Linked DNA regions of Callithrix jacchus. The protein of the gene in region 3 interacts with the protein of the main gene of each other region in a pairwise test. Links are inferred from orthologs where the notes say so. Each region holds a gene or a part of one and is shown on either strand. Other genes may lie near its edges. The genes, in order: CYGB, KLHL42 and DDI1.

Evidence for each region.
Region 1: the proteins of DDI1 (region 3) and CYGB interact in binary tests that used the Homo sapiens proteins (3 or more experiments, as listed by UniProt). The two-hybrid records come from large-scale screens. The link is inferred for Callithrix jacchus from reciprocal best matches to the Homo sapiens genes DDI1 and CYGB.
Region 2: the proteins of DDI1 (region 3) and KLHL42 interact in binary tests that used the Homo sapiens proteins (3 or more experiments, as listed by UniProt). The two-hybrid records come from large-scale screens. The link is inferred for Callithrix jacchus from reciprocal best matches to the Homo sapiens genes DDI1 and KLHL42.

The regions. Positions count from the first base shown.
Region 1 is NC_133506.1:132,425,907-132,434,193, forward strand, and holds the start of CYGB (cytoglobin), read right to left. Parts: upstream 5,027-8,287; 5' UTR 3,863-5,026; coding exon 3,720-3,862; intron 2,206-3,719; coding exon of another isoform or gene 2,112-2,205; exon of another isoform or gene 1,975-2,111; intron 1-1,974. Other genes in the region: photoreceptor disk component PRCD, read left to right, coding at 2,112-2,205, 6,768-6,836. UniProt on the Homo sapiens protein: Probable multifunctional globin with a hexacoordinated heme iron required for the catalysis of various reactions depending on redox condition of the cell as well as oxygen availability.
Region 2 is NC_133510.1:43,425,272-43,432,917, reverse strand, and holds part of KLHL42 (kelch-like protein 42), read left to right. Parts: intron 1-2,788; coding exon 2,789-2,982; intron 2,983-7,646. UniProt on the Homo sapiens protein: Substrate-specific adapter of a BCR (BTB-CUL3-RBX1) E3 ubiquitin-protein ligase complex required for mitotic progression and cytokinesis. The BCR(KLHL42) E3 ubiquitin ligase complex mediates the ubiquitination and subsequent degradation of KATNA1.
Region 3 is NC_133511.1:4,027,041-4,035,295, reverse strand, and holds DDI1 (protein DDI1 homolog 1), read right to left. Parts: upstream 4,264-8,255; 5' UTR 4,146-4,263; coding exon 2,913-4,145; 3' UTR 1,189-2,912; downstream 1-1,188. UniProt on the Homo sapiens protein: Probable aspartic protease. Seems to act as a proteasomal shuttle which links the proteasome and replication fork proteins like RTF2. Required, with DDI2, for cellular survival following replication stress.

The DNA.
Region 1 (8,287 bases), on a different chromosome or scaffold from region 3:
TCAAGGCTGCAGGGAGCCAAGATTATGCCCCTGCACTTCAGCCTGGGTGACAGAGTGAGATCCCAAATCAAAAGAAATAATGATAATAAGTAATAATAATAATAAAAGGCTGGGTGTGGTGGCTCATGCCTGTAATCCCAGAACTTTGAGAGGCCAAGGCAGGAAGATCCGTTGAGGCCAGGAGTTCGTGACCAGCCTGGGCAACATAATGAGATCCTGTCTCCAGAAAAAAAGAAAAAAATTGGCTTGGTATGGCGGTGCATGTCTGTAGTCCTAGCTATTTGGGAGGCTGCAGCAGGAAGATCTGATCACACGAGCACAGGATTGGTGGCTGCAGTGAGCCATGATCGTCCCACTGCACTCCAGCTTGGGTGACAGAGCAAGACCCTGACTCAAAATAATAATGATATATATTTGCCTGGTGTTTTACAATTTGCAAAGTATCTCCACGTATGTTATTGAACCCCTTCCTTCCCTTCCTCCTCTCTCCTTCTTTCTCTTTCTTTTTCTTTTCTTTTCTCTCTCTCTTTTTTTCTCTTTTCCCCTTCCTTCCTCCCTTTCTCTCTCTCTCTTTTCTTTCTCCCTTCCTTCCTTCCTTCCTCTCTCTCTCTCTCTCTCTCTCTTTTTCTTTCTTTCTTTCATGGAATCTCACTCTGTTACTCGGGTTGGAGTGCGGTGGTGCTATCTTGGTTTCCTACAAGCTCCACCTCCCAGGTTCAAGTGATTCTTCTTTCTCACCCTCCCAAATTAGCTGGGATTATAGGTGCCCGCCACCAGGCCCGGCTAATTTTTGTATTTTAGATACAGGGTTTTGCCATATTGGTCAGGCTGGTCTTGAACTTCTGACCTCAGGTGTTCTGCCCTCCTTGGCCTTCCAAATTGCTGGGATTACAGGTGTGAGCCGAGGTGCCTGGTCTGTTATTGTATTTAATTGCCACAGCTAAGCAGGTGTTACCTCTATTTTACTGATTAGGAAACAACAGGGAAAATTTATTGAGCACTTACTGTATGATCTCACAAATACTTGCATTTCCCTCCTGAGATACGCACCGTTTTAATCCCCCTCTTATGAATTAGGAATAGATGTCCAAGATTGCCCAATAGAGTAGATGGGCCAGGAAGGGGCCCAGATGGGCCCTGCTTTGATGGTTTCCCCACACTGCCTGAAAAGATGGCTGTGCCAGGGGACTGTGGCCTGGTAACCAGGTGTCTCCTGCCTCAACACCCACCACTGGGTTGTGGCCCTGAGGAATGACAGTCTCAGGGAGCCCCCACCCAGACCCTCCAAGGTTCTGCAGCCCGTGGGGCCCACGTGTGTGGCTCCTGCCTCCTGGCTCCATGATGTTTCCACTTGAGACTCGCCCAGTCTCAGCCTGTGCTGCCAGGGAGAAGCCTCCACAGCCAGCCCTGGGGAGTTTCTCAGCTCCCAGAGGAATCTGGGCTTCCAAGAGAGCCTGAAATAGGCCTGTCTGAGTGTGAGGAGGAAGGTGTCAGAGTTACAACCCGGCGGGAAGGTGGGTGTTCCCTCTTGGTCTCCTCCCTGGCTGGGAGTGGAAGTGTGGGGTCTGCCCCAGGTTCTGAAAGTAACGCCTCCTCCACCCCCACCAACGTGGCAACTTCTCCAGGTTGGGGCTGTGGAGGTACAGCGGCCTTCTCCCTGCCCTGCAGGCTCACTAGGGCTGAGAGCGCTGGCCTGGTGCAGTGAAGAGGGCACAGTTGAGAGCGCTGGCCGGAGGGCTCCAGCTGGGGCCTTGACCTTGAGGATGTGTGTGTTGTGTGTGGGAAGAAAGCACTGTGTCAAGACTGATGGGCGCAGGATCTAAGGAGGGACCTTCAGGAGCCCTTATCCCCCTCTCCTCCCCTCCCCTACTGACCAGGCCCTGGGCAGAGACAGGAGGAAAGAAGGAAAGCGAGGCCCTGTGGGGTTGGGCTGGCAGGGAGTGGCTGAGACAGAGCTGAGACAGGCTGGGCTCTAGTCCGACAGAATTGAGCACATTGGTAACGACCTCCTCCAGCCCAGGCCCAGGCCCCTCTAAGAGACAGGAGTGGAGACTGGAAGAGGGGTGGAGAGAAAAAAAGAAATCCTGGCTGAAAGCTCTGACTGTCCAGACATGGCCCTGCCCTCAGTGCTTCATTTCTCCTTGGCATCTGCCCCACCCTGGTCCCCTTCCTGGGGAGGTTCAGTGGTGCCCCGGGATGTGGACGGTGAGTACTTCCTCCACGGATCCGCACAGGCACGTGGCAGGGGTTGGGACAGAAAACCTCCAAGGTCCTGAGGACCCTGGCTTGCCTCCTCTGGTGACCCATGTGCTTGCCTAGACACGCACCCGGCTGCCAGTGTCCGAGGATGCAGTCTGGCTCTGCTACCCGCTGTGTGCTTGTGTAGATGCCAGCCCGTGGGGGGATCTGCGGTTCCAAGTGTCTGAGGCTCCAGGATCCCAATGCCCCTCTTAGCTTCCGGCCGCTCCCAGCTCTGTTTCTGGGCCTGGGGTGCTGCTGAGATAGCTGCCCCATCCTCAGGAATGCTCCTTTAACTCCTTAGAAGTGCTTCCTGCTCTTTTTCCTCCAAAATCTGCTTCGGAGTTGGAATCAGGGCATATCATGGTGGAGCTGGGTAGGTCCCAGGCTTGAGAGAGAGAAGCTGGAGACGGAGAGGCCTGGGAGTCGGGGAGGCACTAAAGCTATCCTTGCAGAGCGAGGCTTCACCCGTCTTCCCATGACAAGGCTGTCCTGCTCTGTCCTAGATTTGACCCTTTCCTCTGCCAAGAACAGGGGATTGAGAGTGAGCTGGTCTGGAACCTCTCTGCCTGCACCCCCAGGGGCCAGCACATGTGGGAAGAGAGCATGGATTTGTAGCTCGAGTCAGTTACTAGCTTTCGAGGCTTGGACACATCACGTTAATGAGAATGGTGTGTGCACGCTCTGGGCAGGTGTATGAATGGGACGCTCTGTGTGTGTGGCTCTCTTAGGGACGTGTGGTGCCTGAATGACCCCCTAAGCCCAAGCCACTGCATTTCCTCCCTAGGTGGGGGGTTTTAGGGTTAGGCCCTGTCTCCTGACAGGGTTAGGCTTCTCTCTTCTCCAGTCACCCTCAGACTCAGCAGGGACTGTATGCTCCCGCACTGTTTGCTTCTCCACACCTGTGTCTGCGCCAGGAGATCCTGCTGACCTGCACCTCCAGCAGGAAGAGGGCAGCTGGGAACACTGGACCCCAGCTCTCTTCCTTCTCAACCTCTGCTCTTTGCTCCCTGTTCTTCCAAGAGGCTTTGAATCCAGTGAGCAGCTGAGCTTGAGACAAGGGTCTGCTCCTCTTTGTCCCCTTTCTTGACTGAGCCTCGGTTTACCCATCTCTAAAATGGGGAGCCCCTGCTACTCCCTTTCAAAGGCCAGAAAAATGTGTGTGTCTGACAGCTTGGCTGGGTGTCTGGGGTCTCTGGCCGAGGGAGGAGTTCTCAGGCCGGGAAAAGGAGGGGGACCGAGGTGCCCTCCAGCATCTTGTTCCTAGTTCCTGGTGAGCTCCACGCCAGAGCCAGGGAAAGCTCAGCCCAGGCTTCGTTCACCCCAAGGCGCCCCACGCTGCCCGCCCCGCCGACCTCGCACCGGCCCCAGTCACGGCTGGGGAGGTGGCGCCGGAGCTCGGACCCTGGCCCAGCCCGCCTCTGCCCGGAGCCGCTGCCGCCCTCCCTGCCCAGGGCCCGGCCGGGCCGGGCGACACCTACCTCACCAGGATGGCCACCCCCACGTCCTCGCAGTGGGCATAGAGCCGGGCCCACGTAGCCTGCACCGCCTTCCTCTCCGCCTCGGACAGCTCCTCGCTCCGCTCCCTGCGCTCGATCTCCATCTCCCCTGCCACTTTCTCCATGAGGAGCTCCAAGCCCAGCCTGGCTTTGCTCGGCGGCGGCGGCGGCGGCGGTGGCGGGGCGCGGGGCGCCGAGCGCTGGGCGCGGGGCGCGGGGCGCGGGGAGCGGGGAGCCGGGGCCGGCTGCGTGCGCGGCGGGCGGGCGAGGGGTAGAGCGCGGAGGGAGGAAGCGTGTGTCTGTGCGCGCCGGGTGTGTGTGTGTGTGTGTGTGCGTGCGTGTGTGCAGGGTATATGTGCGGGGGGCGGGGGACAGCCAGCGGGGGGCGGGGATGTGGTCTGCTGGAAAATGTTTAAAAAAACAAATCCGCTCCAAACCCCGGGCCCCGTGTGGGTGAGCCAATGCCGGCAAGGTGAAAAGCTGCTCCGGGTGGGGGCGACGCGACTGCCGCCCGCCCACCCGCAGGCCACCGCGGAGTTGCACTGCGGGGCGGGGCTGGGGTAGGTGTGGCCGGGGCAATGGGGGTCCCGGGAGGAATGGGCGGTCACGCGTCATAGGGTGGCGCGGGCCGCACAGGAGTGCGCCGAGGCGGGCGCGGGCCGGTAGCGCTTGGTCCCGGCTCCCAAAGCGTGCGGCATCCCGGGTGTGCGCGTGCAGACCCTTCCAGCGGCGGGGAACTGACTCAAAGTCCAACACTCCCGAGCTTTCGCTGTGAGGCTGCCCGCTAGCCCTTCCGTGGGGTCCCCTGGACCGCGCTGGGCTCCCGGAGCCCCGGCCTCTCCCCGGAGCCAGGCGCTGGTGGCCGCGGCGCCACGGCTCTTGGGGTGGGGGGATTAGACTGGGATCGTCCCCCCGCCCGCCCACCGCCCTGGCTGTCGGAACTTGAGCGCACCTCCGATCGCGGGCGCCCGAGGCCTGCGACCCCTTTCCTTCCGCCCAGCACCCCCGTTGCCCTCGGTGCACGCGCGTGGCGGCGGGGGCGTCGAGAAGTCCCCCGTGGCTTACCAATGACAAGGACAGGCAAGAACTAGGCGCTGCCCTGAATTCTGGCCCAGCTGGTGTCGGAGAAAAGTCCGGAGAGGCACCGGATAGGGCAGAGAGGACTTGCCGGTCAAGAAGTCCTGAGGAAGGCACAAGCCGCTGGGGACATCTCAGCTGCCACCAAGGGCTTGATTCCGGGCTGGGGGAGACAAATCCTTCCTCCTGGTGGACCCTGTCCAGAGCAGTGTGCGTTGGGCCAGAGGTAGGGGGAGAGTTCCATGGTGCCCGCCCTTCAGCGGCTGCTGGGTCCTGGGAACAGCCTGAGGCCAGACAGTTCCTGGCAGTGTCAGGAAGAGAAGTCACTCAGGCTCCCCGTGACCCTGTCCTTGCTCAAGACTTGGTGTCCCATTGCCCAAGCATTGCCAAGGGTTGGCTCTGGGCTTCTGCTATGGTTCATGTATTTATTCTTAAAATTCGACTGTAAGGTCCTGGGGAGGCAGGGAGAACTCGCCCAGGCAAGCCTCAGCTGCAGGCTGGGCCCTTCCTGGGAGCTCAGGGCTCCGGTGCCTGGGGGACCCTGGGGCAGTGCATCTGACACTGCCTCCCCCTTGTTGAGTGAAGGAAAATCTAACGCCTCCTGGAGGTTTTGGAGGGGTGGAGAGGAGTGGGTGGGTTCAGGTTCTCTCATTACTCCCAGACCCACGTCTCAGCGTGGTCATGGCTGGTTCTACGCTCCACACACACTGAACAGTTTCTCAAAGTTGCTGGGACCAAGTGGCTGCCCAACAGGTCCCCTTGGAATGTGGAAAGTAGGAGAAAACCGCTATTTCTTTTCATCTCATCCTTTGCAAATTCAGTGCAGCCTTATGGTGTAGGGATGTATCTGCATCGTCATCTAGCATATAATTTGTAGGTGGGTGCACCTATCTATTTTGTGAGTGCGCACTTGAATTCTGCCTTTTACTGAAGAGGGTGTGTAATCAGTAAAGTTTGGAGAGGATTGTCCAGAGGGTAAACTGTGCCAGCCCTTCACTGTCGAGTCTCCCCTGTCTCTCTGGCTTCGTTATTGAATATTCTTCCCCTTTCTTCCTCCTCTCCTGATCTTTCTGCGGTGACATCATTGCTTCACCTCTGCTCACCTTGCAGTTCCCCGCAGATGCTCCATGATTTCATGTCAGTAGCCTCGCAGCGTCTTCTGTCTGAGGGCTCATCCTCCTTGCGCTGCAAATTCAGATGCCCTCGCCCCTCTCTGAACCTTGCCCTGATGCCTGCAACTCTGAAAGTGCCCTGGAGGCGCCTTGAATCACTCCCGGGTCACTCTCCTGCAGTCATTGTACTTGACAGCACATTCGTCTAGACTGGCAGCTCCTTGTAAGCAAGGCCTGGTCTCAGAGATGGACATTCCGAATATGTGCCCAATGCCACAGTACACACCTTGATCCTACCGCTGGAGGGGAGAACCGGGGCCCAGCGAGCTTAATCAGTCCTCCCAAGGTCAAGGCCGCTGACCCACTAATCAGCTTGAGCCTCCTAATCCATCCCCAGCAGGAACCGCAGGACAGACCGCAGTGGCTCCTGAGAGCTGGCCGGGGCCATTTTGGCTCCTCGCCTGTGGCCTTCTGTGGACTTGGTCTGGGAGGGGATGGGGCAGCTGCGCCATGTGCACCACACTTTTCCTGCTCAGCACCCTGGCCATGCTCTGGCGCCGCCGATTTGCCAACAGAGTCCAACCGTGAGAAACTGACTGGGCTATGGCTGGGGGTTGGTGGGGGAGGACCCATGGGGCTGGGCTGCCACTAAGCCTGGACCTTCAGGGGAGCTGGGAGGGCATTTTCAAGGAACCCTTGAGAGCTCAGTCTCAGAGCAGGGGACACTTAGAGCGTCAAAAGCTCTAGTTGCAGCCTCCAGTGCCATAGCCCAATGCGGCTGGGACCTGTGGAGGGGCCGGGCACGGCCATAGTTCTTCCTGCCTACTCTTGCCTCCCACAGAGAGCCCAGCGACGTGGATGGGGCAGTTAGGGCCAGCAGCGTGGACTCAGACCCTCAGGCCTCTGGCAGGTAAGGCTGGAATCTGGGCTGGGAGAGGGAGGGTGCTGCCAAGGATGCTGTGGCTGTGCCTGGTTGGGGGTGCACGTGTGTGCCTGTGTGTGCGCCTGTGCTGCACCGTCTCCCGGCGCTTGCCCTAGGCACCCAGCTCCCCGTCCGCCTGGTGGGCAGGCCGGATGTCTTGTTTTCTGCAGTTGGGAATGGGAGCCCCCAGCCGCTCCTCTGGACCAAAGCTGCTGTGCCTCTCATCTCCAGTACGGAGCGGTCCCCCGGGGCACCTTCTGTCGGGAGGCGCAGGGGAGTGGAGGCAGGGATGAGGCAGGAGGAGCTGTGCGCGGCTTTGCTCGCCTTTCCTTGCCCTTCCCCCTCCTCCTCCTCTGCCCCCGCCCCGCCTCGGCTTCGCAGCCCCAGCCTCCTGCAGGATTCGCTGTCCAGTCCCCAATAGAAGGCGCGGGAGGAGCATGACATCATCAGCATTGAGTGCCATTGGCTGGGCAGCCCCTGCGGGCAGGACGCTGTCTCCAGTGGCCAGAAAGTTAACTCTTCCCTAGGCTGAAGCCATGTGGTCTTTAGGGGGTGAAGTTGGGGGAACTTCCAGACTTTTCCTTCCGTGGGTGACCACTGTCGTTCGATGACAGGGGCGCCTATCCCAACGAAATACAGGGATACACCAGCAAATCTTTATTAAGTTCCCGTGCACGAGGGGTTCCTTTTGTGCCTATGGACTCACCTAGCATGGGAGACCCGTCTGAAGAAGGACTTTTTTGCTCCCAGTGAAACAAAGAGTAAAAAATATCCTATTATATCCTTGGGTCAGGGCCTGCTGGCAGGAGGGTGTCTCCACACAGGGTGGATGCAGGTGGCGGGGTCCTGTGACCATCCATGTCTCTGAGTGGGGACTTGCCAGCAATGAGTCCCTTTGATATGTGACAATGGCAACCGAGAGAACCTCAGTCTTCCTGTCTCCTGTCCTCTGAGTCCTGGGATTCTGAGTCCTGAGATTCTGATGATCAGAAGGCCCGACGGGAAGCCCTGGGACTGTACAGGAAACAGAGGCATTTCTGTGACACTGGATAGGCCAGCTGGGATCATCATAACAGTGCCTGCTTAGTATCACTAGTTAAATCGGATAAAATGACCACGCCTGGGCCTCCCCCCACAGGAGGCCCTCAAATGCTGAGTGGTCCTCACTATTGAGCCAGGGTCTGGAGTTGGGCAGGGAGAATTTAAATCCTGGCTTCCCTCTTACTAATGGAAAGACTATGGGGCCATTTACGCACTCAGTTTATTTTTACGTAAACTAGGGTTGATAACAGTGCTTTCGAGGTCCTGGTGAGGGTGCAGAATAATTGCACCATAAATGCTAGCAGCTGTCTTGTTCTACCCGGGACCTGTGCTTTAGTGTTCTCCAGAGGTTTCTTATACATTAACTCACTCAGAAGTCTCAATACCCAGAGGACTGG
Region 2 (7,646 bases), on a different chromosome or scaffold from region 3:
CTCTCCAGCATCTGTTGTCTCCAGATTTTTAATGATCACCATTCTAACTGGCGTGAGATGGTATCTCAATGTAGTTTTGATTTGCATTTCTCTAATGACCAGTGATGATGAGCATTTTTTCATATGTTTGTTGGCCTCATGTATTTCTTCTTTTGTAAAGTGTCTGTTCATATCCTTTGCCCACTTTTGAATGGGCTTGTTTGTTTTTTTCTTGTAAATCTGTTTTAGTTCTTTGTAGATTCTGGATATCAGCCCTTTGTCACATGGGTAGACTGCAAAAATTTTTTTCCATTCTGTTGGTTGCCGATTCACTCTCATGACTGTTTCTTTTGCTGTGCAGAAGCTGTGGAGTTTGATTTTATCCCATTTGTCTATTTTGGCTTTTGTTAACAATGCTTTTGGTGTTTTGGTCATGAATTCCTTGCCTATGCCTATGTCCTGAATGGTTTTGCCTAGGTTTTCTTGTAGGGTTTTTATGGTGTTAGGTCTTATGTTTAAGTCTTTAATCCATCTGGAGTTAATTTTAGTGTAAGGTGTTGGGAAGGGGTCCAGTTTCTGCTTTCTGCACATGGCTAGCCAGTTTTTCCAACACCATTTATTAAGCAGGGAATTTTTTCCCTATTTCTTGTTTTTGTCAGGTTTGTCAAAGATCAGATTGTTGTAGATGTGTTGTGTTGCCTCGAGGCCTCTGTTCTGTTCCATTGGTCTATATCTCTGTTTTGGTACCAGTACCATGCTGTTATCATTACTGTAGCCTTGTAGTATAGTTTGAAGTCTGGTAGTGTGATGCCTCCTGCTTCATTCTTTTTGCTTAGAATTAACTTGGCTATGCAGGCTCTCTTTTGGTTCCATATGAAGTTTAAGGTGGTTTTTTCCAGTTCTGTGAAGAAGGTCATTGGTAGCTTGATGGGGATAGCGTTGAATCTGTAAATTACTTTGGGCAGTATGGCCATTTTAATGATATTGATTCTTCCTAAACATAAACATGGAATGTTTCTCCATCTGTTTGTGTCCTCTCTTATTTCATTGAGCATAGCAAAACCTGGCAGAGACTCAGCAAGATAAGAAAACTTCAGGCCAATATCCATGATGAACATAGATGCAAAAATCTTCAGTAAAATACTGGCAAACCAATTGCAACAGTACATCAAAAAGCTTATCCACCATGATCAAGTAGGATTCATCCCGGGGATGCAAGGCTGGTTCAACATACGCAAGTCTGTAAACATAATTCACCACATAAACAGAACCAAAAACAAAAACCACATGATTATCTCAACTGATGCAGAGAAGGCCTCTGACAAAATTTGACAGTGCTTTGTGCTAAAAACCCTCCAATAAACTAGGTATTGATGGAATGTATCTCAAAATAATAAAAGGTATTTACGACAAACCAACAGTCAATATCGTACTGAATGGGCAAAAACTGGAAGCATTTTCTTTGAAATCTGGCACTAGACAAGGATGCCCTCTCTCATCACTCCTATTCAATATAGTATTGGAAGTTCTAGCCAGAGCAATCAGGCAAGAAAAAGAAATAAAGGGTATTCAAATAGGAAAGGAGGAAGTCAAATTGTCTCTATTTGCAGATGACATGATTGTATATCTAGAAGACCCCATTGTCTCTGCTCAAAATCTCCTGAAACTGATAAGCAACTTCAGCAAAGTCTCAGGATACAAAATCAATGTGCAAAAATCACAAGCATTTCTATACACCAGTAACAGACTTAAAGAGCCAAGTCAAGAACGAACTGCCATTCACAATTGCTACCAAGAGAATAAAATACCTAGGAATGCAACTAACAAGGAACGTAAAGGATCTCTTCAAGGAGAACTACAAACCATGGATCAAAGTATTTTTGAGGCCAGTTGTGGTATCTGGTACTATAATTTCAGCGCTTTGGGAGGCTGAAGGAAGAGGATCACTTGAGGCCAGGAGTTCAAGACCAGCTCAGACAACATAGTGAGATGCCATCTCCACAAAAAAATTTTATAAAAAATTAGCTGAGTAGACTTGAGTATGGTGGTGCATACTTGTAGTCCCAGGTACTTGAGAGACTGAGGCAAGGAGGCTCTCTTGAGCCCAGCAATTCAAGGCTGCAGTGAGCTATAACTGTGCCACTACAGTCTAGCCTGGGTAACAGAGCAAGACCGTGTTTCAGAAATAAATTAGTAAATAAATAAATACAAACTGTGAATTTGTTCAGTGCTGACCTCTCCCTATTTTGTATGTTGTGAAGCAATATGAGGCAGGGCCAGTGGTCTGCTCAGGTGTCCTGGTGGTGCAAAGATCTCCTGACCCACCCTTTAGCAGTCACCCGTCACAGCTGCCTGTCTGTCTAGGCAGCACCAGTGTGTCTAAGATGAAGCCATGCTACTCAGTAGGAAGAATGAAATAACCATTCTGAGCGGTAAAAGACAAGGGGGTGAAGTGGGTGCCTTTTTCCTCTCTTAGCCTTGTGCCTGCCCCTGAAAGAGTGTGGAATTTAGTGTATACACATTGTCTTTGGTTGCTGGACTAAGGCTGAGCAAGATTAATAACTTGTTATATTGAGCTGCTTATCTTCAGAAGCCAGTGTTTGGACAGTGTGCCATTCCTGTGGAATCTTGGGGACAGGAGTGAGATTTGAGAAGCCATCCTTTCTTCCTCTGTCCTCAGGCAGAGTGGCTTCCAGCTGGGAGAGCTAATTTTCTTCAGATGTCCAGGAGATTCTAGTAGTTCATGCGATTGTCATGCTTTTCATTGATTAGAAGAACTAACTCTGGGGCCTTTGTGTCTCTCTTTTAGGTCTAACTTCAAACTTGTGGCTGTTAATTCAAAACTCTATGCCATTGGAGGGCAGGCCGTTTCTAACGTTGAGTGTTACAACCCTGAGCAGGATGCTTGGAATTTTGTGGCACCCTTACCCAATCCTCTGGCTGAGTTCTCTGCCTGTGAGTGCAAGGGAAAAATTTATGTCATTGGAGGATACACTACCAGAGGTAAGTGAAGGGAATAAGTAGGTGGTCTGGCCATGTGTAGGTGTCGGCAGCTGGGAAGGGCAAGACGGTGTCAGAGGAAGCTCTGATGTACCCGAATGTCATTTTATGGTTTAATACTGTACACTTACACATCTGGAAGGAAGTGAGTCCCATTTGGGTGGGGTGATTGAAACAAGAGGAATCTTTTGATAACTGTGTGAGCATGAAAATCAAATGGAGAAGGGAGGGCTGTGAAAAAAACATGTTATTATTATTTTTACTTCTGAAAACCCAGTTTTTTGGTCAACTGTCTTGTGATTTGGCTGGGCCTGGTTTGTGGGGGTCACTCTCTGAGGTTGGGTAGGTCTTTGGAGAAGATTATCTGGGAACTCCCATTTTTATCTCAAACACATACCAAATCTGCCCCCATCCACCATTATGGAATTTAGTGCCAGAGCATCCTTGCAGATTAGTTCTCATTTTCTCTCTTTGTGAGCACACACACATCAGATAGAGGTTCCGGAAACCCAGCTCCAGGACACTGTTCACATATCACAGGAGGAGCAAGAACATGAATACAAGAGTTCTTTCCTGATCAGCAGTGGGAGGTGGTTGTACTATCTATTTATTTGTTTATTTATTTATTTTTTGAGACAGAGTCTCCCTCTGTCACCCAGACTGAAGTGCAATGGTGCAATCTCCACTCACTGCATTCTCTGCCTCCCAGGTTCAAGTGATCCTCCTGCCTCAGTCTCCCTAATAGCTGGGATTACAGGCACCCACCACCATGCCCAGCTGATTTTTGTGTTTTTAGTAGAGACAGGATTTCACCATATTGGCCAGGCTGGTCTGTAACTTCTGACCTCAGGTGATCCACCTGCCTCGGCTTCCCAAAGTTCTGGGATTACAGGTATGAGCCACCATGCCTGGCCTGGTTCTACTATTTATTAAAATGTACATGTGTGTTTTTCACTTTTTTGGTGGGCATTTTATAGTTAATAATTTGGAAATAAAAAATTTCTACAGCAAGTTTTTTTTTGTGGAGACGAAGTCTTACTATGTTGCCTAGGCTGGTCTTGAATTCCTGGGCTCAAGTGATTATTCTGCCTTGGCCTCTCGAAGTACTGGGATAACAGGCATGAGCTACCATGCCTTGCTAACCAGCAAGTTTTATACTGCTGTTCTTGGTAGGGAATTGTCTCAGGTAACAGTGATACAGAACAATGTGGTTGTTGGCGGGACACAGTGGCTCACACCTGTAATCTAACACTTTGGGAGGCTGAGGCAGGAGGATTGCTTGAGGCCGAGAGTTCAAGACAGGCCTGAACAACATAGCAAGACTCCTTCTCCAAAAATGAAAAGAAAAAAAATAGCTGGATGTGGTGGCATGTACCTGTAATCCCAGTTACTTGGGAGGCTGAGGCAGGAGGCTTGAGGACAAGAGTTCAAGACAGGCCTGGGCAACATAGCAAGACCCCTTCTCTAAAAATGAAAAGAAGAAAATTATCTGGATGTTGTGGCATCTACCTGTAGTCCCAGGCCCAAAGATCCTTTTTTTGAGTAAAATCACCATTCACAGGTTCTGGGGATCAGGAAATTGACATATCTTGTTAGGGACCACCATGCAACCCACTGAAGCGATGTGTATATTTATGTATTTAAGGAGAGGCAAGACAAAGAGAAGTGCATTGGAAGCAATGACCTTCCCCACCCCGCCACTCCAAGTTTCAGTCATTTGTCAAGCTATTCCCAATGTCTCTCCCTGGTGACTCTCCACTGAAGATAGTTTTCAACTTTTTCTTTAAATATAATTGGGAAAAAAAAGAGACTTAGTAGTCATTTCTTTGACCTTCAATATTGGTTGTCAGGTTACAGAGATTAACTTTATAGGTTTAGACTAAGCCATGGGCCCTTCAGCCCGCCAGAACTCCTGTGTTTGTATAATAATCCTCTCTCTCTCTCTCCCCCCTTTCTCTCTCTCTCTCTCCCCCCTTTCTCTCTCTCTCTCTCCCCCCTTTCTCTCTCTCTCTCTCTCTCTCTCGCGCGCGCACGCGCATGTGTGTGTGTGTGTGTGTGTGTCTTTTCTTCTAGGAAAGTAAATACAGTTATTTACCTATGAGCAATTCTAAGAATTCTGATTCCTCTCTAGATTGAGTAACACAGATTGCATCTCGTGGACTGACATAATGCACATGTGCTTTGACTTCTCTTCTGAACAAGAGCTGTTCAACACTGACAGGCAGCACTGTAACCCAAAGAGTACCTTACTGGTAGACTCCTAGTTTTTCCATGACCCTGGCTGAGCAAATGTCCTTTAGATTTGACCTAGAAAACCCTTTTTGTGTGTTTTGTAGCTTCACAAGCCACTGCTAATGTACCTTCTTCACTTGGGCCACCCACTGTGATTTCTGTCCTGGATTCCCTGAGCCAAATACCCATGATGGGATGGTTCAGTGATGTGGATGGATGGCTATTTGTGTATGGGCTGAAACTAGTTTTCTAAGATGGGAGAGCTGGGCAGTTACTTACATGCTGAAGCCCTCCTTCTTCTTTGGTGGCGCTTTCCAAGCACTGCCTAATAGTTCCCTGTATTTAAGATAAGTCATGATTGTTAGGAAAAAAAGAAAAAAAAGTTAATTTTGAGACTCCTGAATTCTTAAGTCAAGTAAGACTCTTAAAATATAGCAAATAATAGCTCATGATTTTTATGATGGCTGTTTGATTATTTTAATTCCTTGGCAGCACTGAAGAAATTCAAAGAAGTTCAGTAGTGAGTAATAGCTATAAAGGGAAGAAGGGTGATTTGTTAAACTTCAGAATCAACTTTAAATGTAAAAACAAAAAGATCATTCCTCCAACTCAAACCACCTCATCATGGTCTGAGCCCTTGTTGAGTGAGGAGAGAAAACATTTACAGAACACCTGGAAAGACCTTCAGGCCTGGAGCTGTGAAATACGTGGAAGCCTCACTAGAATGAGTTCTTTATTCATTTGGTGGACAGCCAGGTTACTAAGGAGCACTTTTTAATAAATTATTGACCAAAATCCCCTTGGGCCATCTCCTAAAATGATCTTTATCATAATAGCTATAGTAAAAAGAAATATGGAGAGGTATTAATACGGCTGGAAATCAGGACAGTTTCCAAACACTGTGACTTACACTTCTGAGATTTCTGCAGGCATCAGGACATCTGCATGTACAGGACTTTGCTGTCTTAGGAGGTACCTTAGTTTGTATCAGATGTGGCTTTGGAGGGTGCTCTTTAAGCACTGCTAATTATGGGTGGGTTCTTTTCAGAAGGAAGAACTGAAAGAGGTATGAAACTTCTGAGAAAATGAGCTGTCTTCTCTTACCAGCATCTGCAGCCATCAAAATGTTGTAGGCTTTAGTTGTCTGCCAGTGCCCAAGCTGAGCTGTCTCCTTCATGGTTAGGATTTATTGTTTAGAAAAAACAGCAACATTCTGTTTATAACTCAGAGCATTTGTGTTTTCTGCTGAAGCTAAAATACTCATTTATTCTTTCCTAGAGGAGAAAAGAAAAAGAGAACAATTAAAAACAAGAAAAGCAAAATTAGATATTCTAAATTTCTTAAGCATTTTTCACAAAGAGACTAGGCAATTTTTTTCCTTAAAGAAAATCACCTTTTTTTTTTTTTTTTTTTTGAGACACCAGGATCCCTGTCACCCTGGCTGGAATGCAGTGATGTGATCACAGCTCACTGCAGCCTCACCCGCCCAGGCTAAATAAAGCCATCCTCCCACCTCAGCCTTCTAAGTAGCAGCTGGGAACATAGGTGCATACCACCATGCCTGGCTAGTTTTTTATTTTTTTTGTAGGCGGGGGGGGGGCGGTCTCACCATGTTGCTCAGGCTGGTCTTGAACTCTTGAACTCCTGGGCTCAAGCAGTCCTCTTGCTTCAGCCCCCTAAAATGGTGAAGTCCTGAGACACCATGCCTGGCCAAAAATCATTATTAATTAAAAATGCCAGAGAAGCCTTTTATCTAGACTTTGATGTTTTCTACACTGCAACTATCTCTTGGGAAATGGGAAAAGGGAGAGGGAGGACCTTTGTTATTGTCTCTCTGGTGATATAATTGGGAAACTAAGGCTGGGCATGGTAAAGACCCAGTCTTTACAAATAAAAACAAATTGGAAAACCGAATTGCCAAGTGATTCTGTGGCTTGGTAGAAGGCTGCAGGTGAGACTGCTGCGTTCCTCCTGACTTGTAACGTTGTGTCCTTTTCACTAGACAGCCTCTGGAGAGCCTATGTTGCTACTTGTCATGTTTCTTAGGATCAGCTGTCAAGGACAGATGTAGTTGCTGATCAGCCTGGCTTCTGTATTAAGTAGTCGGTAATTTTGTAGCTATTGATGAGAGTTCTGAGGCACTTAGTTTTTTTGCCCTGACCTGGTGGTTCAAAGGTGTGGGGGCGGGTACCAGGGAGGAGGGGCTGTGTGAAAGTCAGAGCTGCTCTTTTCCCTGGTTTTATCCAGTCTGAGTCTCCCAAGGAGATATTTGGGAGGAGGAGGCGAGTGTGGCTGGATCTAAATATATCTCTTCCCAGCCATTTTGAAAACTGTTTTACCAACTTGTGCTTTTTCCGAAACAGTTTTTTCTCTTTGTTACCAAATTATGCAGGTAGAGGTAGACATTTCTGGGCAGCCTCGCCTAATGGTGTTAG
Region 3 (8,255 bases):
CCCTGAGGATTAAAGGGAACCATATGCAAAGTACCTGCATGGTGCCTGATTCCTGTAGAAGACAAGCAAAAGATGTAGCCTTTCCCAAAACTAATCCATGTAAAATTTAATTGATCGCGAACCTTTTATGTATACACAGGATTATATTAAGACTTTAATTAATTTTTAAAACACTTTTCAATTTGAAAGTCAATGACTTTTAAAAGTTAATCAATAAGGGCATTGCTTAATTAATTCATTTTATTTAATGATTTTTCTTTGAGGTCATTGCTTTTCAATTCAGTATAAATGTTTTTAATTTATTCATTCATTAACTCAAATAATATTTTTAGGATTTGGAATATGGCCAAATAAACATGACATTTTTAAGAGAATACTAATATGTCCTATGAGGAATAGTTAAAAATCTGTTGAAAACCTACTAAAGCCTAAAAATGGATATGTGGGCTGATACTGATTTCATACAGTAAAAAGTTGGTCTCATGCCAGAAAGATTAAATGTGGTCTTGGGAGAAGGAAGAATGAAGACCAGCTTATTGGAAGTGATAGGACAACAGATTTCAGTTCAAAATAAGAAGCAAATAATTTTACCTGAGATTTGTCTCAAAACCTTATAACTATAATTCAGAAAAGGTATTTCTCTGAGAAGGTAGGGTGGGTATGGTCAGATTTGATATCATGTAAACTGTCTTTTTTTTTTTTTTTTTTTTGAGACGGACTTTCGCTCCTTACCCAGGCAGGAGTGCAATGGCGCGATCTCGGCTCACCGCAACCTCCGCCTCCTGGGTTCAGGCAATTCTCCTGCCTCAGCCTCCCGAGTAGCTGGGATTACAGGCACGTGCCACCATGCCCAGCTAATTTTTGTATTTTTAGTAGAGATGGGGTTTCACCATGTTGACCAGGATGGTCTCGATCTCTTGACTTCGTGATCCACCCATCTCGGCCTCCCAAAGTGCTGGGATTACAGGTGTGAGCCACCGCGCCTGGCCGTAAACTGTCTTTTACCTTAAAGGTTCTGTGGCTGACTTTTTTGGGTCAGATACCCTGAGGAGTCCCATGTGATATATGCAAATAAGATTTTTTTTTTTTGCATAAATAAAGCTTAAAATTGAGTCCAGAAGATGGTGCGGATTTTGCATAGCTTTATCTTTGAGAGATTTCATGAATTTGTCAGGTCAATTTACATTTATTCATAAGCATTTTGCTTATCCCTGACTTTACTCTGTCTTTTCTGCTAATTGCATTTGTCTTGAGTGCTTAATTAGAAACAAAAGTAGGAAGGAAATCTGTCCATTTGATCATTTTTAGCAATTCTACTGGGTGTAAAACTTTGTGCAAATGTAGACAAGATTGGGAAATGTGAGCATGGGAATATTTATAGAGAAGAAAAATGGGAGGTGAACTGATGGAGGCTGGGAGAGGAAAGGTGACTTTCTTTAGAAAGAGTGTGATTTGTGTGACCAAGAAGTAAAACAAAAAGAAGTATGTGGGGATCATAAGGGAGGATGGCGTATTTCTGTACCCTTTGGGAATGCTGTGTGGCTTTATGTTTTGTCAGGAAAATAGAATAACTCAAAGGACATCCTAGATCATAATGAGGTTTTAGTACTTGAAAAGTGACACCTTCCGGGGGGCGGGGCCGGGGGGGATTCATAGATGAGGAATCTGAGTTGTAAAGTAGGTGAAGTAATTTGTCTAAGTAATTAAGCATAATCAAAGCATACTCTTCTTGACTTTGAATCCACTGTTGTGATACCAGTCTTGATGAATTATTGCCCCGAAATATTTCCCCTCCATCTGATGGCCTCAGGAAGCTGGAACTTTTCTAATAGTGTTTCAGCCATGGATTGTAATTAAGTCTAGGATCTTCCATTTCCCAGTGTCCGTCGTAATAAAGAGTGGCTTTGTCACAGTGAACAATTCTGTATGAGGCCTTAGAGATCTTCTCATTCAGAAGTTTTCAAATGTTATTTTAACAGTGAAGCCCTTTGTTCAAACAATATTGATGTAGCAGCAGCTTAATATCTAGAGCAGACTTTTACTTTAAACAGGAGGAAGAGAGAGATGATCTAATTGCAATGCGTATTAGGGAACCTAGATCACTGCCTGTCCCCACCACTCACTCCCACCACTGTGCAACTTGACTCCCAAGAAGTACCATGATTTCTTTAAAAGAAAATCTAATTTATTGCCTTTATTTTACAGCCAGAGTTTCTTTGAATGCAGGGGAGATAGAAAATTAATGTAACATCCTTGGAGAAAATTCCACTTTCTCAAATATGGCAAAAACAGCCTTTAGCTGTGGACTACAGTGTGACTGCAGGAGATCCAGGGGGAGGGAAGGTGTGAACATGAGGAAATTGGCCTTTATGTTGCCCCAGACAGACATATTTATAAGTATTAGTTAACATGAGAATGTAATTGACCCACTAATTCTAGTGCCTTTCTCAAAAACAAAACCTATGAAAACAGACATATTTCCCTGCATATAAAGAATTGTTAGTGCTGATGTGAAATAGTTTTATGTAGATGCCTTGTAAGGTCTGTGGCCATGGCATTTCTCCAGGGAATTCTGCAAAATAGCAACTGGTTTGGATAAGCCACCTGTAATCTGATAGAATGATGTCTCTAAAAGAAGCTGATTTTCTTTTTTCACGGATTATCTGGAAAGCCGCTGGAGCCTCCAGAGCCTTCCCAGGATGCCTTTCAGTGATCTCCGGACAAGGGAAATGGAAGAGGGACCAATACCAAGGAATCAGGATTGACAGTTACCTATCTGAGAACGTAGTCCCAAGGCCAGGTTTAGTTGTTACTGATTTTTTTTTTAATGATCACATTTCTGGTGAGCGCCCATCGTATCATTTCCAGGGACCTGAAGCTCCCTTAAGGTGGTGACATATTTATAACGCGCTTCAGTGCTCTTTTTGTCCGAAATCCTTGCCCGAATGTGTAATTTCCTTGTCAGAAGGCCCATCTTGCCCATTTACCATCCTACTGAGTAAGGGCGACTCTCCCTCAGGAAGGAAGTAGGTCTGCGTGCCAGTGGTGCCGATGACCAGCACGTTTTTCTTCAAATCGATGGAACATTGATGTCTTCGGAGCATATCTAGGCCTAGAAGCATATCCATGGGTTGGTCCGCAAGTATGGAGAAAGAGCACGGTAAGAAATCACCTTCAATTTGAATCTGAGCCAGATGAACGCGGCCGATAATGATCTGCGTGCCCACTCCTTGAGCAACCCCAGCCCACCGTCGGTCCACCAGCCTCATGATGTTACAGCGCTCGGCACAAGCCTGGCTCATGATGGTCATCTGGGCGCCCGAGTCAACAAACGCCTTCAAAGGACGCCCGTTCACTCTGCAGTTAATGTAGAGCATCGTCACTTGTCCGAAAGTCTCGGGCGCCTCTTCCATCGCTATATTCATGTTTTCTTCCACGTTCCTCTGCCGGATCTCCTCTTCTATTTTGGCCTGAGCTTCCAGATCCAGGGGGTCGGCCGTGTAGAGACGAAGCCTCTCCCGCTCTCTCGAGGCCCATTCCCTTCGCTGCTCCATCAGCACCTGAGCAAAGGTGTCAAGGCTTCCGCTGAGCAGGGCCTCCGCCAGGCTGGGGTTGCGTTCCTCGAGCAGGGACAGATGGTGCCGGTTGGAGAGCAGCGTGCTGCGGATCAGGGCTGGGCTGCCCAGGCCTTGCGGGCCGGCCGCCTCCTCCCCCAAGGCCCGGCCGTGCGCCCGCTGGGCAGAGGGTGCGCGCTGCTGCCGCTGCTGTCCTGGGTGCTGCGGGCGGGAGCTGGACGTCCCGGGTGCTGCGATGCCGCCGCTCAAGTCTACACGAGGCTGGTTCGGGGCCCGGGGTCCCACGTTGTCCCTCTGCAGTAAAACCACCACATCGCCGTCTTTGAGGCCGTAGGAGCCCAGGGAACAGTGGTCGTCAATGAGGAGTCGCTCCATGTGGATGATCTGGATCTCGTCGGCGGGGACTCTGGACTCCACCTCGCAGAGGACCTTGAAGTTTCGGAGCTCAAAGTCAGGGCTGACCTGGAGGGAGAAGGTGACTTCCGAGAGGTCCCTCCGCACGCAGTACACGGTGATGAGCATGGCGGGGACCTGGGCGTGCCGGGTGGGCAGAGGGCATGGGCCGCTCATCGGGGGCTGGGGCGGGCCTGTGTTGTTGGCGTCGCTGCTCCTCACGACTCAGTAGGTCACTCGCCTCTCAGAGGGACGGATGCTCATCTGCCTGGGGCTGCCTCCCAGCCTCAGTGCCAGCCGTGTGGCCCAGTGGAGCCTTGAGGTAGCATGTTGTATTCCAAAGTCCATTTGTAAGTGCCCTGTCTGGAACCTAGAATGCCTATTTCCATGGAAACGCAATGACTCAAAGCTGTCGGGTTTCAAGGCCAGCCCTTCAAAGCCTATTTAACACGATAGGAAAGAAATTATTTCAACACCTTTTGTTTGTTTGTTTTTTGGAGACAGGATCTCATTCTGTCACCCAGACTGGAGCTCAGTGGCAAGGTCACAGCTCACTGCAGCCTCGACCTCATGGACTCAAGCAGTCCTCCTCTCTCAGCCTCCTGAAAAGCTGAAACTACAGCCATAGTCTACCATGCCTAGCTATTTTTTGTATTTCTTTTATAGAGATGGGAGGGATCTCCCTATGCTGCCCAGGCTGGCCTCCAACTCCTGGGCTCAAGCCATCCACACACTTCTGCCTCCCAAAGTGCTGGGATTACAGGTGTGAGCCACCGTGCCTGGTTTCAACACTTTCTAAACAGCATATTACCATTTGTTTTGCTTTAGAGTTATATTCTTTGTACTTGTGTGTTCCCCACCCACGACCCCAAATAGTGTCTGTTTCCTACATGGTAAGTATCATTCTGTGTCTATAATACAAAAGTCAGACTTGAAGCCTGCCCTCGAGGAGCTCACATTCTGGAAAGGGCTAGATGGGTGAATGGGTAATCACATGTTCAGGGTACTGCCTTTAGTATCAAACAGAGAATGTTTCCTAAGGAGGAGACAAGCTGGATGTTGAAGGATGAGCATCTTCCAGGTGAAAAGTGGTCTCTTTCCAGAGGGAAGCAGTTCATGTTACAAAAGCAGGAATTTATGGCAAGGCCTGCTATTTCTAGAGAAAGAGGAGACGTTTTATGCAATAAAAAATTGTACATAACTTTGAATAGCAGGATATGAAGCTGGAAAAAAATAGTTGGAGCCAACTTATGAAGTCATGTGAATTCAAGGAGTTTAAATATTAAATATTATCAAGTAGCAAGAATTCTCCCTCCAAAAAAAAAAAAAAAAGAAAGAAAATGAAAAGGAAGGAAAGGGAAAGATTTGAAGCAGGTGTTCATGCTTTTTTTTTAATTGACTTAGGGAAGAGGCTTCTTGCAACGCATAGGGGACAAAATGTGTCCCTCTGGCAGGAGGGCCAGTTGGGAGGCCTTTCTGGTGGTTCAGAGCGGGAGCTGTTGCTAGAGTGTGGAAACCTCAGGAGGACAAAAGCCAAAGCAATAGGGAAGAAACAGGTTTTTTGAGTAAAACTGATAGAATGCGCATACCCCTTGGAGGTGAGGCGTGTAAAAGCAGTGGAGTGTGTGGATAACACAGAGGGTCTCTAAAATGGGAGACTGGGTAGACAGGCCGTTGTCTTCAAGGGAATAAACGAGTGAGTGAGATAAATCTTTGAGGCGACCCATTTGACATCAGTTCTGTAGGAAAATGCATTAAGGATGCCACCTCGGAGGCCAATATGCCTCTGACACTTGGACATGGCCGCTTTCTACACACCACACACACACACACACACACACACACACAGAGTGGAGGCTGTCATAGTAAGGGCGAAAATCCTTCAAGGCAAATGATGATAGGGTAGAAATCCTTGCGTGCTAGTTATTTTTCTCCATGTTTAATGTTGAATAAAGTATTTAGCACTGTACAGGGCTCATGTTTCCCTGGCTTGATCCTCCCAGGTATACCTACTTATGAGCCAAGATAGTTGCTATCCTCTGCCTAGTTTCCCCTCCTTCTTTAAAGTGTCATTAGAAAGCCTGCACCATGACACTGTTATACCATTGTGGGGAGAAGGGTGTCACATCAGCCTAAAACATTTTTTTTTGGCTCCTGTTTCTCATGTGTTTGTCTCAGATGGAAGACTATGTCTCTCATTGCTCTAATTATTATGTTTCCATACTCATATTTGCTTATATGAGAAAGGTTGACTGAATGCCCAGTGTATGTGAAGAGTGTGCTAAGTTCTCAAGAAACAAACGTGACTAATGTTAAATACAGGCTCACAGTCTAAATTAGAACATGTGCACACACACAAACTGAAGGGTAAAATAGGATCACAGTAGGAGCTGTGATAGCTTAGGAGAAATGAGTAATATCTGGAGAGAAGATGAAGAAGGTGAGGGGTTGGGGGCAGAGAAGACTTCCTGAAAGAACTGGGCCAGAGTGGAGAAACAAAGGCTGGGAAGGAAGATGACCTGACTTAGAGCCTTTAACTGGAAAGACAGTGTTTCATGATATGAGGATTTCTTTTAATTTTAAGAAAAAAATCTAGCATTGTAATTTTCACCATTTATACAGATGAATGGCCCTTTGACTCAAAAATATGATGTTATGGTTCTTTGCACACTGACAAGTTTATCAGAGATTACTTGTGGTTTCTCCTGCGTTTGGAAACAATTATCATGTGAGATGTCACATGCAAACTACTCTGCTAAAGAACAGATTGAGAAACCAGTGAGACTTTAAGTCAGTGTTCCTTTATCTGTTTTCCCCAAATAGCTTTGTACAATTTGTTCTTCAAACCATAAGCGAGGGGGATTATACTGGGGCTTTTGTTTATTTTTTAAGAGCAAATGAAATTTTTTTTGTAGAATAAGCTTCCTTTTATTTCTTATAAAACAAAAATTGTGAGTTTACATGAAAAGAAACTAACATCTTTTTTCTATACCATTGCCTTGATACTGAACATATGTGAATTCCATGTGATATGTTTTATTATTTCCCTGTAATTCTTTACTTTGGGTATCATTTTATATTTGTGTGGTTTTCAGCATTTTACCTTTTACTGAGAACAGACACTGAAAAGAAAAAAAGCCTCAAGGTCTGGCCAATGAGCTGTCATCATTCCATAGGCCACAGGATGTCAAGGTTGCCAGGGATCCTTTGGATTCCATAGTCCAACACCCATCCAGGTCTTAAATCTCTGTTGCAAAAATCCCTGGAATCTGTACAGCTAAACAGTTTCCTGTGTTTAGTACTTCTGTGTATACATTATTTGATTCTTTCATTTTACCCAGCACGATTGATGGTTTGTTAATCAAATACCATATGTATAAATCTATCAACTCAAATTTTAAATGAAAACCTCTTCTGATTGTACAATGAACTTGGAGATCATTGGATATATATATATATAAGCATAAATATATATATATATATATATAAACATAAACTCCAACAGTTTATGTTTAGGAATATACATATAGGTATAGAAATATAAACATATATGTAGAAATATATATGTATCCCTAAACATAAACTGTTGTTATACCGTAAGTCCCTATCATATAGTCTGTTGAGAAACTGATGATCTGACATACTGAGTTGTGTAAATCTAAGTAACTGAGGTTCTCAAAACTTTTCTTGAGGAATTCTTTGTGAAGTATATTCCCTTACTTTTCTCCCTCAGTAAGTACAATATAAGAACATAATTAAATCTTTTTTGATAAGTGAGATTCCTGCAGAGTCTCCAGGCTATCACTCAGAAATCAATTCTAATTGTTTGGCCTAAATGCCCAGAAAATAGAAGAGATGGGACTGATTTTATTCTAGCCAAGTAAATAACCCCAAAGTTATTTTTTCAAATAAACCCACAATACCATTTATAATTTGCCTCTTTCTAAAAACTTAATGTGACAAAAAAATAAAACCCAGATAGCTGATGGTTTCAACTGAGAGTTGATATTTAAAGTACTATCTCTTGCTTTACTAAGCAAAATAATTGTCTTTTTAGTGAAAAAAATAGAATATCTACATAAATGTCATTAATAACATGTACAATAATTAAACCATGCGAAATGAATACATCTGCTTGCTACATTGTGGTTTTTTTTAAGCATGTGCCTGGTATTACCTTTAGCGTGTAATCAAGACTTACTAATAATTAAATCATCACTTGAGATTTCCAGTGCAATTTAGAAAAGATGAAGAATTTTAAAAGCTGTACCCTTAGGTTAAATAACT